2 linked regions of the Elephas maximus indicus genome follow. The protein of the gene in region 1 interacts with the protein of each later gene in a pairwise test. Links are inferred from orthologs where the notes say so. Each region holds a gene or a part of one and is shown in the gene's direction. Other genes may lie near its edges. The genes, in order: HAX1 and IL1A.

What was found.
Region 2: the proteins of HAX1 (region 1) and IL1A interact in binary tests that used the Homo sapiens proteins (3 or more experiments, as listed by UniProt). The link is inferred for Elephas maximus indicus from reciprocal best matches to the Homo sapiens genes HAX1 and IL1A.

Annotation. Positions count from the first base shown.
Region 1 is NC_064821.1:192,032,530-192,041,439, forward strand, and holds HAX1 (HCLS1-associated protein X-1), read left to right. Parts: upstream 1-5,023; 5' UTR 5,024-5,330; coding exon 5,331-5,383; intron 5,384-5,406; exon of another isoform or gene 5,407-5,625; coding exon of another isoform or gene 5,626-5,639; intron 5,640-5,874; coding exon 5,875-6,131; intron 6,132-6,305; coding exon 6,306-6,493; intron 6,494-6,959; coding exon 6,960-7,014; intron 7,015-7,167; coding exon 7,168-7,274; intron 7,275-7,390; coding exon 7,391-7,481; intron 7,482-7,626; coding exon 7,627-7,712; 3' UTR 7,713-8,700; downstream 8,701-8,910. Other genes in the region: UBAP2L (ubiquitin-associated protein 2-like), read left to right, coding at 168-235, 1,867-2,064, 2,478-2,528, 3,362-3,457. UniProt on the Homo sapiens protein: Recruits the Arp2/3 complex to the cell cortex and regulates reorganization of the cortical actin cytoskeleton via its interaction with KCNC3 and the Arp2/3 complex. Slows down the rate of inactivation of KCNC3 channels. Promotes GNA13-mediated cell migration.
Region 2 is NC_064835.1:42,083,512-42,092,774, reverse strand, and holds the start of IL1A (interleukin-1 alpha), read left to right. Parts: upstream 1-5,258; coding exon 5,259-5,305; intron 5,306-6,276; coding exon 6,277-6,325; intron 6,326-7,228; coding exon 7,229-7,451; intron 7,452-9,229; coding exon 9,230-9,263. UniProt on the Homo sapiens protein: Cytokine constitutively present intracellularly in nearly all resting non-hematopoietic cells that plays an important role in inflammation and bridges the innate and adaptive immune systems.

The DNA of each region.
Region 1 (8,910 bases):
TTTCTGTCATGAGCTTTTATCCCTCAGGACTGACCTGAAGCTGGAAAAACAAACCAAAATTCCCTTGCAGTAATAGAGCTAGAGAGGCTGCAGACATCACCTCCTCCCAGGAATAGGGCCAGGCAGGAAGCTGAGCTAATCCTCCTGTCTGTTTCCTCCTCCCTCAGGTGTATCAGTCACCTCCAGTAACACGGGCGTGCCAGATATCTCGGGTTCTGTGTACTCCAAAACCCAGGTAGGTGCCTGGCTCTGACAGAAGTGTGAAAAAAGAGAGATGGACTTAGATGAGGTAGAGTTTCAGTGAGAGAAGCTCAGTGAACAAGAGCAACCCTAGGAGAAGGATTAGTCCAAAGGACTAATGGACCACAACTGCCACAGCCTCCACCAGACTGAGTCCAGCACAACTAGATGGTGCCTGGTTACCACCACTGACTGCTCTGACAGGGATCACAATAGAGGGTCCCAGATACAGCTGGAGAAAAATGTAGAACAAAATTTTAACTCACACACACACACAAAAAAGACCAGACTTAACTGATCTGACAGTGGAGAAACCCTGAGAGTATGCCCCTTGGAAACCCATTTGGCTCAATAATGAAGTCACTCCTGAGGTTTACCCTTCAGCCAAAGATTAGACAGGCCTATAAAACAAAACGAGATTAAATGGGCACACCAGCCCAGGGGCAAGGACGAGAAGGCAGGAGGGGACAGGAAAGCTGGTAATGGGGAACCCCAGGTTGAAAAGGGGAGAGTGTTGACCTGTCATGGGGTTGAGAACCAATGTCACAGAACAATATGTGTACTAATTGTTTAATGAAAAGCTGTTTGTTCTGTAAACCTTCATGTAAATTACAATTTTAAAAAAAAGCAACCCTAGGAGAAAACCAAAAAAAAAAAAAAACCTGATGCCATCAAGTTGATTCTGAGTCATAGTCATAGCGACCCTATAGGACAGGCTAGAACTACCCCATAGGGCTTCCAAGTAGCAGCTGCTGGATTTGAACTGCCAGACCTTTTGATTAGCTGCCAAGCTCTTAACCACTGGGTCATCAGGGCTACAACCCTAGGAGAGGTGGCAGGACACCCATCCTACTAGAAAATGACTGGTTTTCTCTAGACTTCGGTGCCTCTAAGGAGTTTTTAAATTTAGCCCGCCGGAAAAAAAAAAATGTTATAGTAAGGCAAGGTGTGGCAGATTGTTGTGATGTGTCATGTGATTTACTGTCCTAGCCCTTTACCTCCCTGCTCCCAACCTTTCTCATAACTTTCTGAGAGAGGGAGGATGGAATGAAGGGAAATTAGTTCATCTGTTCTTTGTGAGTAAATCTGTAACAAAGAGTGGGAAAGCAGAAGCCCAGTAACTAAAGTGAGGCATTTGAATGATCCACAGGCTTGTTTGTATAACTTGTGTTACTTTTACTGATAGAAAGTATTTGGGGGAGTGCTTCATGGCCAAGGCCTTCAACCTTCACGTGTATTAGTTTCTTTTGAAATATCTAAGAAGTTCTGATTTTCACGTAGCTCCATGGTGGGGGAACTAAGGGTAGTCAGCAAATTTCAGCTTTCATCTGTGTCATTAGCTTTACAAAGTGCTTTCACGTTTATTCTCTCATTTGATCCTTACAACCGTGAGATCAGTAGCATCCCTGTTTTATGTATCAGGAAACCGAGGCTGAGAGATTGAGTAACTTGCCCAGGATCATTGAAGGGCAGAGCTGGGACTCAGACCCGAATAGCCGACTTTAGGTGCATGTTCCTTCTATGATGCCACTGCTGCCTTCTGAAGGTGGGGAGCTTGGGCTTAGAAATGTCAAGGCTTACTTTGCTGATCCCTTTTACTCTGTCTTTTCCCACCCTCCTGGATAGCAGTCCTTTGAGAAACAAGGTTTTCATTCCGGTACTCCTGCTGCCTCCTTCAACTTGCCTTCAGCCCTAGGAAGTGGGGGGCCCATCAATCCGGCCACAGCTGCTGCCTACCCACCTGCCCCCTTTATGCACATTCTGACCCCCCATCAGCAGCCGCACTCCCAGATCCTTCACCATCACCTGCAGCAGGATGGCCAGGTAATAGCAATTCCTCTTCTCTCCTTTCCCTTCCTCTTCCTTCCTATCCCTTAAAACTGCCTTCCTTTTCCTTCTCTTACCCTTCTTCACCACCACCTTCACCCAGCCCTTCCCAGTGCCAGCCATGGGCACACAGCACATACAGACACAAGCGCACATAACACGAGCGGCCAGCAAAGGAGATGTCAGAGAAGGGGCCAGGTACCTTTTTTGCCCACTTCCTTTGGTGCCTTTCTCCTCCACCTCCTCACATGACACAGTTGTCTTCATCCCATCAGACCTGGGTTACACCTCCCCTCCTGCCTCTCCCAGTCTTCCCCTTTCCCCTGACATTATAGCTTTCCCTTATGATGGTGGAGTTCTATTGTCAAAGTTTGTCCCTTTATTTTCCATATATCCTGGTTCTGCCTCAGCTACCATATTTGCAGATGATTCTCTGTTGCCAGCGCCAGCAGGAGGAGCAGGTAATGAAACTAAATGATGATATGCTTGAACCCACTCCTTTTCAGTCCCCATTTCACCTCCATAGCTTCAGGGAACTTGAAGAGGAAATAGATTGCGCGGTCACAAGTCGGGATACACAAACACGGACACCTTGCTGAGCTCTCTGGCCTCCCTTCCTGTGTCCTTTCCCCTTCCTTAATGCCCTCTTTCTTTCTTTCTACCCTTCGCCCAAACACTTGGTTACCGGAATGGGAAAGATTCTTAGACAGTATTTGGAGCCCTGAGGCTTTAGTCTGTCTCCTGCCTTGTCTGCAGTGGGCTCACAGATGTGATGTGTGGTAGGGGTGAGGAGCTGTGGGATGGCACAGGTGACCTCTCTGTCATAGGTGGCTGGGGAGCTGGAATAAGGGCTTCCTTGCTTTCAAAGATAGCATTCCAAATTGAGGCACTTGGGGGCATCAGTGGAAATGAAATGACTTTATGATCTCTCATCCCGAAGAGGTCATAATTCTCCCCAGATAGCAGCCCTTTGCCAGAGCAGAGAGTGGTGAGGTGGTAGGAAAATGTGGAATTGAAAATGAGTAGAACTATCTTATCTCCAAAAGTATCTTGCCCTCATTTCATCTTTCCGCTATTTAAAGGATGAAAGTGCCTTGCTTGTCAGAGAGGGCCTCTAACAGCTATGTAGAGCAGAACTCCCCATGGCTGACAAGTGAACTTCCTAGTAGTCTCTAAACAAGGGGTATGGGGGAGAGTTCAAGACAACTTCCATATCTCCACCTAAAGATGTCACAAATCTGTCCCACTAACTAGACACCTTTTTCCTCTCCATGATCCTCCCATACCCCTGCAGACGGGCAGCGGGCAACGTAGCCAGACCAGCTCCATCCCGCAGAAGCCCCAGACCAACAAGTCTGCCTACAACAGCTACAGCTGGGGGGCCAACTGAGGCCCTGGCCCTCCTCTTCTCCCGGCCCCATCTTCTGAGAGGGCTCCTCAGCCTGGCTACTATGGAAACAGCATCAAAGAGAGAAAGGAATGTGGGGGGGTTCCACCACCCCCCACCCCCAGCGGCCTACCCCATGCCTCAGCTTTATGTCTGTTCCATTCCCATACCATCCCCACTCTGTTGTATGTATTATAGGATTTGTATTTTTTCCTTTTGTTTTTTTTTTTTCCTCTCTTCCTTTCCTCTTCCTCCTCCCCCCTTGCATTCAAGATTATGAAACTTTGCTGTGGGCCCTGCCCTTCCTTCTCCTCCTCCTGTTCACCCTGGTGGTGTTTGGGTGAGGTGGGAAGAGGGGGCCCCCAAATATATATCAGCCCAACAGCCCTAAGCCTCCTCCTTTATTATTAGGAAAACAAAACAACAAAAAAATGGCGTCATGAATATGAACAGCATCGTCAGATGAATTAGTTGAAGTGTTTTTTTGTTTTTGTTTTTGTTTTTTTGTACTGTGTCCTCAAATTTAATGGATTAATGTGTCTTGTATATATAAAAAGAAAACCTCTACCTTCAGCCTCTGCCCATTCTTGCTCCGTCTAGGATATCCTCAGTCTCGTCGATGACCGGCTTGGTGAATAAGTATTACCGTACCAACTGGGCCTCCTCTAGCAGGCCCCGAAGGCAGTGGAATAAAATGAAATCTTTGCCCTTTAAGAACTCCTCTGACCTTAATGTGCTAGTATCTTGCCCTTGAGGGAATTCCCTTCCCTTCACCCCTAAGAATCTCATAGCCTGATGCCTGGGAAGAACCACCACAAGTCTTCATTTTCTCCAGAAACTACATCTACAGCAGATTTCAGGCAATGAGGGGAAAAGGACAGAGGAGATGGGGGGGTGGAAAGGGTCTTAGAGGAGCTGAGACCATTTCAAAGAGGGAAATGGCATTGTGGGGTCAAAGTATAACTTCAACAGGTCCAGGCAAATGAAAGAAGTGAGAGCAACATGCACTGTTGGCTGGGGCACCACCCCCCTGGGAGTAAAACACAAAACTTATTGCCTCTTGGGTGGTTCATGTCACACCCAGTCCCTTGAAAAGGAGTCAAGGTCAGGATGGAGGAGGAGGGTGAGACGTTGAAGAGTCTGTGATATGAAAAGGAATACTTACAGCCCCAAATCCTTTCTTCCCTCCCAGGACGCCTCACTAGCTTCCCTTCCCTTGCTCCCTTACAAATCCAGTTTGCTGCTGGTTGCAAAGCCTGCTTGGGAAAACCAAGTATCCTTAATGACATTTTTGGTGGCTGGAGAGATGGAGGAAATAAGTCCATGCGTCCCCATATCTTAACTGGGAGAATTCAGAACATTTTGTCCGTTCCTCTCAGACTTAAACAAGCCCGAGAAAGGGAGCGGGGTGACTTGTGGCTTCCCTGGGTGTGTTCAGCCAGGGATGAGGGAGGGCCTTGGGCTCGTTATTTGTGCGATTGGACTGTCCCCTGGCGGCCATAGCCGTATACAATCAAGAGTCCAATCTTAGAAACACCTTTTAGGCTTAGGCTGGTCAGCAGGAAGGAGAGTCTGACGTCGGACGCAGGTGGCCATTGGGAAATAGGAATTCGGTAGCACGCACCCGCTTCACAAGAAACTGGTCTGAAAAAGTGAGGTAAAAGGTAAAAGCCGTTCGAATTTGAGGAGGCCCGTCCGCCCCGCCTCCCCTTCCAGGTCCGGCTTACGGTCGTTTTACGACAGTATCTGGGTTGCAGCCTTGCTTTCCGGCAGCGTGGTGTGACGTTTCGCCCACCTTCCGTCAGCGAAGCGCCGGCTGCCTACTGGTGCGAATGGGTCGTGGGTGGCGTTCAAAGGTTCGAATCCCAGTACGGGAATGAGCCTCTTTGACCTCTTCCGGGGCTTTTTCGGCTTTTCTAGACCTCGGAGGTGAGCGTGGGTCCGGGTCGGACAAGGGGGGGAATCTTCTGAGGGGACTTTGGCCCTTGACACCCTCTATTTGGAAAAACATCCTCTTGCCCACACTTTTAACTGCGGAGAAGATCGAAGTCGCAACATTCAGTACTCACCTTGCGACAGTAACCAAGGCAGTCGTTAAGTGGAGGAAAAACGGCAACCTAAGCCTTTCTCCAACCTGGGGTGATGCAACAGGCGCCCGGGCGGGGAAGAAAATGGGGATCTGGGGGTAAGGACGATGAGCAAGTGAGCATAACCTTGGCATGCGGGGAGAGGCTGGCAGACACTGGAGACAAGGCGGTGGGAAGGAGATTGGGGTAAACTGAGAGATGAGGATTGACTTTAATAAGAGCTATACAAAAATACTAGCAGCTGTTATGCTTCCGAGACCCCTGTTCTTGTCTCACTTTTCTAAGTACTTGCTGGTGCTGAAATCTTGGTGGCCAATCTGCCCCCACCCCCAGCCACAGAGATCCCTTTTTTGGAGGAATGACTCGAGATGAAGATGAGGATGATGAGGAAGAAGAAGAAGAAGGAGCCACATGGGGCTATGGGAGCCCCAGGTTTGGGGAGCCCCAGCCCCCAGAAGAATTTGGCTTCAGCTTCAGCCCAGGAGGAGGGATGCGTTTCCATCGTAATTTCGGCTTTGATGACCTAGTACGGGATTTCAATAGCATCTTCAGTGAGATGGAGGCCTGGACCTTGCCTTCTCGCCCTCCTGGTGTGTGGCTGCCCTTGAGGGAGAACTTGTGGGTTCTAATGGGTTGGTGGGTGAAATAAGGAGCCTGCAGGGAGTAGTTTGGGGTGGAAAGTGTGAGAAGACTGATGACTTCAGGGAGATTTAAAGAGCCCAAGTCCTCTTCCACTGCCAACATTGACCTGCCACTTTCTGTAGAACTTCTAGGTCCTGAGTCAGAGACAGCTGGTGAGAGACAGCGGAAGGGAGAGACACTTCGGGACTCAATGCTTAAGTATCCAGATAGCCACCAGCCCAGGATCTTTGGGGGGGTCTTGGAGAGTGATGCAGGGACTGAATCCTCAAAACCAGTACCAGACTGGGGCTCCCAGAGACCTTTTCATAGGGTGAGTATCCCATCTGGCCCTGACGTGAGAACCTGTGAAAACAACTGATAGTGTGCAGAGACTGGAATCTTTGATGGAATCTGATAAACTTGAGTTGGCATCCTAGACCGTCCACTTAGCTTATTTATCTGTTTTCTATAATAGCTTCTTGTAGGATTTTCTTTGTGGAGGGGGGGTGGTGGTGAAAATGGGAGTTCTACTGTCTCTCTTTTTTAAAAAAAAATGAAAATCACTGGCCCAGAGGAATTGTTGGGGGAAGACTGGGAAGGATCAGGTCAGGAAGGCTTCTTGGTACAGGAATACATAAAACAGCCAGGAAAGAGGAAGTAGTAAGGAAGTAGACCTGTACTGAATGGGATTCTTCTTCCTGCGGAAAGGTGGTTTTGGAACTTGGTAGTGTTTTGGGTCTGTGACCTTTCAGGTTTCACATTGAAAAGATATTTTTCACCTACTTTGGATTCTTCAGCAGTTTGATGATGTGTGGCCTGTGACCCCCCATCCTAGAGCCCGAGAGGACAATGGTGAGTCTAGAAGGAGGGGACATTCACTAGCCCTCTGTTGTTCTCCTGAAGTTCCCTCTGCTTTCCCTCCCTGAATCTTCTTCATGTCACAGTTCTCCTTTCTTTTCCCTTGTATTATGCCTCTCCTGTTCCTTCATCTCTCTGCCTTTCCAGATCTGGATTCCCAAGTTTCCCAGGAGGGCCTTGGCCCGGTTCTACAGCCCCGGCCTAGATCCTATTTCAAGAGCGTCTCTGTGACCAAGATCACTAAGCCAGATGGGGTGAGCTGGGGGAGAGGGTTAAAGGGAACTGTGGCTAGGGGCTGCCATGAAAACAGATCCATGTATAGAAAGCACCAAACTCACTTTTAGTGAATGGTGGGGACTTCTCCTTATAGACAGTGGAGGAGCACCGGACTGTGGTGGACAGTGAGGGCCGGACAGAGACCACAGTAATACGGCAAGAAGCAGATGGCAGTCCTAGAGATGGTAAGTGAAGAGTATGAACCAAAGGGGTCCATTTCTTAACAACTTTAGGAGGGGAAACTTTCTCCTAACCTTAATTATTCTTCTCCTTTGTCCCTGCCTAGTCTCTCTCATTTAGCCTATTTATGTGTATAACTTTCTTGCCTAGATCAAGAATCACCAAGATCTTCAGCCCTGGATGATACCTCTTCCATCCTGGATTTATTCCTAGGACGATGGTTCCGGTTCCGGTAGACTTGTTAACCCTCAGAGGCCTTCAGGTCCTTTCTGTCTCCCACCTGTAACCCACCACCAATGGGCTTAGTTTCTCTTGCCACACCAGGGGCTTGGGTGTAGGGAGCAGAGAACTGGGGGTATGTCAGTATGTCACTCACCTAAACTGACCAATAAAACCTTTATTTATGCTAATTCCTCAGTCTTGGTTTTGTCAAGGCTGTGTCACTTTCTAGCACTATGCAGGACTTCCCAAATTACCTTGGACCACAACCTTAGCCTTATTTCTTAATTTTTTGTGCCACTTGCAGAACCTGATTTGTTAGGTAAGAGTCAGATGTCAGTAAAAAGTGATTTTCCTTACTGAGGAGATAACTAGAAATAATTCCTAGAAATTTTCCAGAAGGGGATGATACATCAGATTCCAAAGAAGGAAGAGGGGAGTGTGGAAGTGGGGGATAACTGTTGCCCTAAGTGTGGTATCACTGTGACTGGATAGTTCATAAGATAATTAGAGGAAATATATGGGCAAATATTTCTTGATTTACTGGCTAAGTTTTTGTTTTAATGTGTGTTAGAGAAAATATAACTAGCATAATATCCACCCTTATTCTCCTGAAGTTCACTTTGTTCTCCCTCCAACACATTAGAGTAAAAAGTAAAATATTTTCCTCATTAAAAAAGTTTTTGGTACTATGGTTAAAGATGGCAGATTTTACAAATGTATTTACTTCCATTCCTTCTGAAACCCTCGTTAAAATGACAAGGGATTTTACTAAAAAGATATCAGAAGAACAAAGAGGAAAGGAGCTGATAGCTATGAGATTTTACCTTTTCACTATTATTTCTTTTGGTAAACAGAGTTGTTAGCCAGTTTATCTTTTCCTTTATGGATAGTGCTGCTTTTGTCTTTCAGAAATCTCCCTAACTCAGGGTTAAAAGGATACTTACCTATAGTATCCTCTACAAGTTTTATAGTTTTTCCATTTACATTTTTTTAATTCACCTGGAATTTATCTTTGTTATATAATATGAATCAGGGAGCCAATTTCATTTTTTCCAATTGGAGTGTATGTGTGTATATGTATGTATATATGTGTGTGTATATATGTGCATATATGTGTATATATGTCTGTGTGTGTGTGTTTATATATATATATGGTGCTGGTGGCATAATAGTTAAAGAGCTTGGCTGCTGACCAAAAGGTCACAGTTTGAA
Region 2 (9,263 bases), on another chromosome or scaffold:
GTCTGGCGAACTCTGATTTTGTCAAGAGCATCTGTGAAAGATGGGAAAAGGGCACGTACCCAAGGGAGGAGGCAAAGAGGGGACACAGTCCTGTAAAGCACCACTTCAAGAGAAGAGAGGAAGGGGATTTAGGAAGAAAAGTATATAAATTAGGGAACAAATGATTAATTAAAGATAGGAGAAGGAAACACTGCTCACTGGGGATTTGCTGACTGAATAGCAGGCTTCAACCTACGTGAACTTCACCACCTGCTCCCAGCCAAGGCAGCCCTCTGCTCTTCGAGCTCCCAGAGCACTTGCTGCCTCTGGTACACAAGCCAGAGTGAAGAGAGCAAGGCCAGTTTTCATGTACGCTTTGTGAATACATTCTCTTCACTCCGTGTAATTCCTATCCTTCGTCTACTGCTTTATAATCTAGAAATTGTTTTCACGCACAAGAGCGATCTTTTAAAAGTACAAAGCTGCTTATGTCACCCATACGTACAACCCTTGTGGTTGTTCTTGTTGTTATGTGCGGTCCCATTAAACTTTGGATAAAGACCTTAGCTGGGCCTACACGAGGCCCTGCCTGTCTGGTGCTTGCCTTCCTCTCCATCCTTATCTTGCCACCTCCTCTCACCCCCTGCTGCAGCCTCAATGGTGTACTTTCACTTCTTTGATCCCCATAACCTTTGCTCAGCCTGGAATATTCCCTCTTCCCTCCCCATTGTACTATCCATTCCCAGTCTAAGACCAGCTCCTCTGTGACATGACTTACTGTATTTGCTTGTCCATACATACTGTTTGGGGAGATTATTGATTAATGTCTTCACTGTCAGCTTCCATGAAAACAGGAACCATAGCTGGTTTTGCTTACTTGATGGGGTTTCATTGTTTTTAATTCCTTTTTTATTTACAGGTGAGGAGCCATATTAAAAAAAAAAAAATTTTTTTTTAGAAGAGATTATATCTTCACTTTTCCTCTGTTCACTGAAGAGCCAGTGTTAGTAGGTAATAAGATATTTTGAACTAGAAGTCAAGAAATAGTGAGCTTCAATTTTAGTTCTTGCTCTCATATGAATTCTTCATGTGACCATGGGGTAGTACGTCCTCCCTCTGAGACTATTTCCTCTTTTTTAAGAATTTGAACTTGATGGTATCTGAGGTGCGTCCTTCTCTAAAATATAATTCTAGGTCCTTCAATAGACTAACAACAGAAGGCAGAAGAATTAAACATTAATTTAAGGGAACAAAGGAAAGGAAGAGGCTACACTAAGGAAAAGAGAAGGCCTCCTGTTTGGTTGACTGCATACTAGCTCTGGTGTCTGAAACCCATTTCAGCAATTTGATAACTTTGTGATCCTGAGCAGATTGCTTAATCTCTCTGAACCTCGATATCCTCATCTATAAAATGTGATAAGAACACCTACCTCACAGGTAGGATCAGAGGATTAAATGAGATAATGTATTACAGCACCTGGAACACAGTAGACGATGTTGTGCCCTTTCCTCCCTCCCCTTCACCATCATAGAATTTAAAAGCAGATTATAATTAAATAGAGCATGAGTTGAGACTAAAGGCCCAATTGTCTCTGTAAGCAATGGCTTATGCATTGTTTATTCCTCTGAAGAGGCTTTATACCGCCCAAAAATTAATGAATGCATGTCCTGGAAATTCACAGAGAAAAGTCTTGTTTCTCTCTGCATTCAAGTGATTCTGTTAGATTCAATCATATGCAATGATTCTAAAGTTGGTCTAAAAATGTTTACAAGCATTTCCTGTCTTCCTGGTACAATGGCAAGAACAAGACTCGGGTTCCCATCCAGGCTCCACTCCTGACCATGTGCTCAATACCTTCCTCCTGTTCCTGTATGTCACAGAACAAAATGAGATTAGGGAAGAAAGGGAAATATATTTCAAATCTTCTCTTTTTTTATCTTTTTTTTTTTTTTTTAACAAGAGTCCAAAATCACCAAATAGAGTGTTTGAGGTGGGAAAGACCTTAAGAATGATCTGTTTCGGCCCTGTCACTTGGTATTGGTGGTGAGAAGAGACTCAGAAACCAGAGTTCAAGTACTGGTTCTGTCAGTTTTGTGATCTTAGATTAGTCACTTAACCTGTTCAAGGGTCCTCAGCAAAGAAAAATGGATAATAATAGCTACCTCTTACAGATGCAATGAGAAGTCAGTAAGGCATAGCAGTTAAGAGCTCTTTGTGAACTCTAAAGCAGTTTCAAATGAAAAGCATCATCATGATTCTTTGGACGTACCATCTCTCACCTGGTAAAGCATATCCACTAACTTGCCAACATCCATCATCTCATCTTGCATATCTAATTTTTTGAATCACGAAAGAAAAACACCGGTGCCTAACAAAATGCCTGGCATGGAATAAGTGCACAATAATTTTTTCTGAATGATTTTTGTAAAAATAACTCAAGAAGGGCTTTTCATGGTCTCCTGAGAGCCAAGAAGTATGTACATGAAGACACTGAGAGCTCCTGTCATAGGACAGCCCACCCCCTACATATCCTAGACTCCATTAGAGATACACCAAGTGTATTCTTCTCTCCACTCCTTAGAAAGATGTGGTCTTAGAGGTAAGCAAGGTTACTTACAGGTCAGCCTCCTTCACCCTCGTGCAAACAAGGCTCCCAAAAACAAAGCAAGGGCCTCTCCCACCCTGAACTTTATCCACCTTGTTTTTCCTTGAAAAACCAAGTCCAAGGAGGTCAAGTGAAGGAAAATGTTGGGAGATACCCCAACCTGAGTTAGCTTTCTAGAGAAAACTAAACTCTTTTTGAGAAACTCAACAACCACTTTTGGGGATTTCTTTACAGTGGAGGAGCGATAAAGGCCAGGACGGACGTTGCTGCTGATGGTGGAAGCAAGGGTGATTTCCTGGATTACCAAAAAGGTGGTATGCTTTGCTCCCACGGGCTAAATAAATGCCTTCAGGGATTCAATAATGACCTTCAACTGGAATTTTTCTCCCTGTTGAAGTTTTCAAGCTCATATTTTCCTAAGAACTATATCCTCTTCAGTGAACCAAGGCGTTACAACTGGAGCCATCATTAGTGTCATTATTTGTGTAGCAGCCCACATTCACAATGTGCTTTGAAATTGTTTCTTAATAATAGTCCTAACAAGATGCACCAGAGGCAGAGCGGGTGACTAGGATTAACATTTCTGTATTGCCTGAAGGGGAACTAAATGTGAAGAGTTGACTGTCATCCTTGTTCACCCAAGGGTCAATCCAAAGACACCCAAACTCTGTCTCAACTTGATCCTACATTTAGAGTACCTTCTTCCAGGGTGCCAGTTGTTTCTGTGGCTCTTGTTTATAACTATTACAACACCAAGTCTACAACCAGGAGGAACTGGGCTACTGAGAGAGTAAGCAACAGAATCAAAGATTTTTGCAGTTATAATAGACCTGATTGATCATCTAACCAAGTCCAATATTCTCAGTTAAACAGTCCCAGAGAGTTTACCAAACTCGCACAAACCACCCCACTTCCAGTTCTGTGATTTTTTTGCCTTTTTATATCATGTTTTATACCATATGTATCAAAGGCCTCACCTTTCTCTCTCTGCTTTTTCTCTCCTCTGCCCTTTTCTTCCATCCATTTACTTTACTTAAATTTGTGTGGTTCAAACTCCCACTAAGAAACCTGAAACATTCATCTGCTAAGCAGCCTGGTGTTTTATCACCTGAACTGGGCTGGCCTCAGGATACCAAAAAGCCTTTAATAGTAACAATGAGACATCACTGATGTAACCTCCCTCAGCCTCCTTTTGAGGTCCCTGAGTCCCCCAGTTCCCCGAGGATGTCCTGTTGGCTGCACTGCAGACTTGTAAGATACTGCTGCTGAGACCCCAGCCACTGGTCTCTGCCCAGGGTCTTACCCGCTCCTCCCCAAGGGTGCAGCTACCCTTACACACCATGGGTTGATCCTGGAGAAGCCCAGGCTTCTCTTTGGGTTCTGGCAGAGGCCTGCTTTGCTGAGACATGGCTAGGGCAGGGAGTTCTCTGTCACCTCTGTCAGAAATGAGTTGACAGTATTCAGAGGAGCAAAGGATTAAAACTTTTGTGGTCAAATATCACTTCTCTATTCTGCCTAACCAGGAGATCATCACCTCCTGCTCAGAGTGATTTATGTCTTATTTAAGCAAACCTCTCTCCAAGAAAGATGTGTCATCAGTTCCCTTTCAGCCTGCGCACAATAAACAAATGAAGCCAAGACACCCACTACAGCTACTAAGCCCCCTCCAACGCTAACCACTGTAACTTCCTCCCCTCACTGCATATTTTTAGAAGCTTAATACGTTTTCTGCTCTTCTTCCCTTTTTCTAAGACTGCATGTTTATAATTGTATAGAGCAAAGCAATAAGTCAATAAGCCTAGTGAATAAAAAAAAAGTCCTGGGATCTCTGCAAATAATTTGGCAATACCATCAACTATACAATCTGTCTTATTTTAGCCAGTATCAAGTTGATTCAAAAAGAATTCTCTCCTGTAAATTCCCTGGTGACGTAGTCATTGCCACACCTACTTAAGACAAGACAATTACAAAAGGCGAAGCAGCCTGACTCGGTCTTAGTTCTCCTGGCAGAGAAGGAATCACTTCATTGGCGCTCCAGTCGGCAAAGGTATCGTCCTTATCACGTGTTTCTCTTTTTAAATATTTTTTGTTTTTTTTCTTGGCTGCTGTCTCTCAAACTGCCTTCTATGAAGCAATAACCTCTCTCTTCCTTTCTTGTCCCTCCCTGGTTTGGGATGTGAGCGAGAATCACAGTCAGATCTCAGAAAATCTCTCATTCTGCTGGGGAACCCCAAGGACAGAGGAATTGGCTTCTTATGAGGGCGTTGGTGGGCACATCTGAGCCTTCCCTCTGAAGGAAATTTCTCTACCAAAAATTATCAGGAAAAGAGCTGGAAATTTCCACCTGTCTTTCTCTTACATCTGTGTAAGATAAATATCTCATTCTGGTGACTTTTAGTTCCCTCGATGCCTGCTATGTGCAGTGCATTGGGCTGGGCATGTAAGGGATACCAAGATAAATAAAACAGATTCTAAAAAGGCTACAGTCCAGTGAAGGAGGTAGGTATAAATAAAAACAGAGCGAGAGAGTGAACAAGAAGAATAGGGGAAATGCTGAGTGTGGGCTAAGTCAATTCAGTCAAGTCTCCCAAGAAACATAGAGTGGAGTTGGCTCCATCTGATTCAAAGGTTGGCTGAGCCGACAGCCAGTGTTCTCTGTTGCAGAAAATCAAGATGGCCAAAGTTCCTGACCTGTTTGAAGACCTGAAGGACTGTTACAGGTAAGAAATAGATTCTATCTCTTGTGATTTAACAAAGGGATCAAGTCTCATTAGAATCCCGCTAGGAGTTACGGTGACCAACATGGGGTCAGATCAGCAGAGAGTGTGGAGAACACTACTTCTGAATTCTGTGCAAGTTCAGCTGAAGACTCAGGGAAATCAAGCATCCAGCGTGTTAAACTGAGATTGCACTGACAGGGAGACAGTCATTTTAGAAAAATGATTTTTGAAGTCTACCGAGTTCTACACGAATTTCAACATCTACTTAAGCACAGCCCCAATTGAGCTCAATGCCCTGATACAGTAATGGGTTTTCATGGATGAGAAAGAAGCCATTCTCATGCAAACTTCTTATCCCAATCAGGATCAGGAGTTGGCTACACAGCAATTCGAGCTTGTGAATGCACACACACACTCAAACTTCATTCAGACATAGGAGAAAGATAAAGAAATAAAAAATTGAAATTACAGAACATTTTAAACACTTATGGCATTCTCACTACCTATAACATACACTAATACAAACTAGCCTATCAAAATGCTACCTGAATATTTTGCCAAATATAAATTATTAAATCTACTTTGTAGAACCCAGGAAAACAATGTGCAACATATGATTAAACATTTGGTTTAAAAAAATGGAGATGTTTCAAAAGTTTTTCTTTTCTCTTGAGGAACTTAACATTTTTTCCTGACGTTCAATAAAAACTCTTTAATTTGTTAGCCAAACCCAGTTTTTATAGATGAAGCACAGGTAAAGTCCAAGCCCTGTCCTGATTATTCCTAACTGCAAATTAGTACGGAATGAATTACTGTATGTATGTGTGTGTCTAGAAGTCCTTTAATTTTCAAAGATGACAGTAATGTCCAAGTGTGTGTGTTACCCAAAGCTAATGTGGTCATTAAAATAAGTTGCCCAGTGACCGTAGGGAAATAAACAGAATTACATTCTCATCATCTTGTTTTGACAGTGAAAATGAAGAATACAGTTCCAACAATGACACCCTCTCTCTGATTCAGGTAAGCAAATGATTGCAACTCCTAGGGCACTGGTATTTTTATACAGTAGTTTCTCACCAGGAGAGAATAATGACTTGGGCCGTCGATACTTTTGTTTTACATCCACTAAAGGTCCAGAAACTTGCATTTCTTCATTACAAGTGAGACCAGCTGCCTCTCTAAACTAACAGTTAATGGCATTCCTCATGCTCACCACCTTGCCCAGAACAGAGCAGAACTTTCCTGAAGCCACAAGGACCACAGCCTCCTGGGTCAGGCTTCATCAGAACATCAGTTATGCCATCCTGAAGCAGCCCCTTCAGGTCACTTCACTAGGTGTCTGTCTCCTAAAGTGAGGTTAGGTAGAGCCCTCCAAACATAATAGCCCATGAAGTAGAAGAAGCAGACCAATTGAAAGTGAGAAATCTGCAGCCACTCACCTGGAGTCCACAAGTAGGTGGGATAAGTTCTGCCGTGTGTATTTCTGGTACCGACTGCCAAAGCTGTTCTCAGAGGAACATTTCTAAAGCAGAGGTCAAGCAGAGATTACCATAACCTCCTGAGCAGGAACCAATTTGAAGACTACCACTCACGAAGATCGCTTGTTAACCTATTTTATTACAATATCTCAGTTGTGAGTCCTTGCACATGGATGACAAAGTCTCGCCCAAGAGATCACATCCTTTTAGGGACATCCTAGAAGAAAGAAAGGGAGGGAAGCAAGGAGGGAAGGGAGGAAGAAAGAGAAAAGCGAGGAAGGTAGGAGGGAGGGAAGGAGCAGGAGAAGACTGATGAAACATAGGTTACCCAAGACCAAAATGGAGACCCTTCTCACTAAGTCAGTTGGACAAGATTCCTACTGAAAAGTGTGTCATTCATTCCACAGCCATGGCAGCCTCTCAGTATCCATTTTCTTCTTTACAGAAATCCTTCTATGATGCAAACTATGGCCCACTTCAGGAGGTCTGCATGGATAAATTTATGTCACTGAGTACCTCTGAAACCTCTAAGATAGCCAAACCTGCCTTCAAGGAGAGTGTGGCAGTGGTGTCAGCCACAGGGAAGATTCTGAAGAAGAGACGACTAAGTTTAAATCAGCCCATCACTGATGAAGACCTGGAGGCCATTGCCAATGATCCAGAAGAAGGTAAGAGGTCAAGCCAATCATGTCCATTTTTAAATAAATAGGGACAATAGAGTATTAAGGGAAATAAAACTTAGAGTAGCAGAAGGGCAACCAGACCTTAGTCCAGTAACATAAGGAAGGAAAATTAATTTTTCTCCTTCTCTAAAGCAGAGACAGCAGCAGTGACCTGAGTGTAGAATACTTGCCCACAGGCTCATTTACTGATCGTATTATAAAGCTCGTGTGACTTTTAGCCTTTCAGGGGGAAAAGTAACTATATACTGTTAGTGGGTGACCACTTACAAGATATGTTCCTCCATTCACTAGTTATGCTCCCGTGGCCAAGTTATTAAACCTTTCTCTACTGTAAAATGGAGATAATCAGAGTTTTTACCTCACTGTATTATCATGAAGATTAAATGAGTGAACACCCCCCAACTCCTGGACTAGAATAATGCCTGGTGCATAGTACCCAAAAAAACCAAACCAAACCCATTGCCACTGAGTCGATTCCAACTCATAGCAACTCTATAGGACAGAGTAGAACTGCCCCATAGGGTTTCCAAGGAGCACCTGGTGGATTTGAACTGCCGACCTTTTAGTTAGCAGCCATAGTTCTTAACCACTGTGCCAACAGGTTTTCCTGGTAAGCACCCAAAAAATGTCAGCTATTATTATCGCAATTATTCCTTTGTTGTTATTACTACTACTACAGTTAATACTTCTATTAATACCACCAATACTACATTAATTTATTAATGCCTGAATTATATATAAACCTCACAATAACCCTACATTCTCATTTGACATGTGAGAAAAGTAAGCTCGGCGAGATAAGTGACCTGCCCAAAGACATGCAGCCTGTAAGTGGGAGAGTTCCAAATCAAATTCAGTTCTACCTGACTTAAAAAAAAAAAAATGATTTTTCTCTCATGCCTTTACTGTACAAGCCTCCACATGTAACATAAACCCATTATTCCTGTTTTTAAGATAACATCTAAACAAAAATGCATGTACACCTAGGAAGTTGAAAAATGCAAGAAAATATTTTTTTAAAAAAATCAAAATCACTCATACTACCACTCAAGAGTTTACCACTGCCAACACTATGGTATACTTCCTTAAAGTATTTTCTATACACATACACATACATAAACAAACGTGTTTGTTATTAGGATCACACTATATACAATTTTATATCTGGCCCTTTTCACGTAGCAACGTGTCAAGGACATTTTGGAGTGCCAATTTTTCAGCAGTGTAAGTGACGTGGCAATGAACATTTGTATCAACAAACCTTCATTTCCATCAGCATTTGTTTCCTAAGAAGAGATTCCCAGAAGCGGAATTACTCAGAGCTCTGAGGATTTGTGAAGCTATTGATACATACCACTTTCTAGAAAAGTAATAGACATTTAGACCTGCACCCTCAATGGCATATACAATTCTTAATCAATTCTTTTCTTTTTTTTCTGAGTACATTCATTTGAAAATATAGATGCGGAATACTTCTAGTCTTCCCGGTTACTTAGAAACCTCCCAACAAGCAAAAATAAGGAAGTTTCACAAATAATTTTGGGGGGGGATGGGGGCGAGGGGGAGATGATTGCCTGAGGAATCAAAGCTTAAAAACCACTTCTACTGCTGCCTGGGTAGTTTCACTTCTCTAACAGTTTCCCACCTGGACGGGAATATTCCTAATATCCCTCCCCCAGCTACTTTCTGCAATTACATGAGGGTATATACATCATCTATGTTTGCACCTAGACATTAATCTGAGCTTGTGGTAATGGTTTTAGAAATCATCGAGAGCAAATCAGCATTTTCCACCTT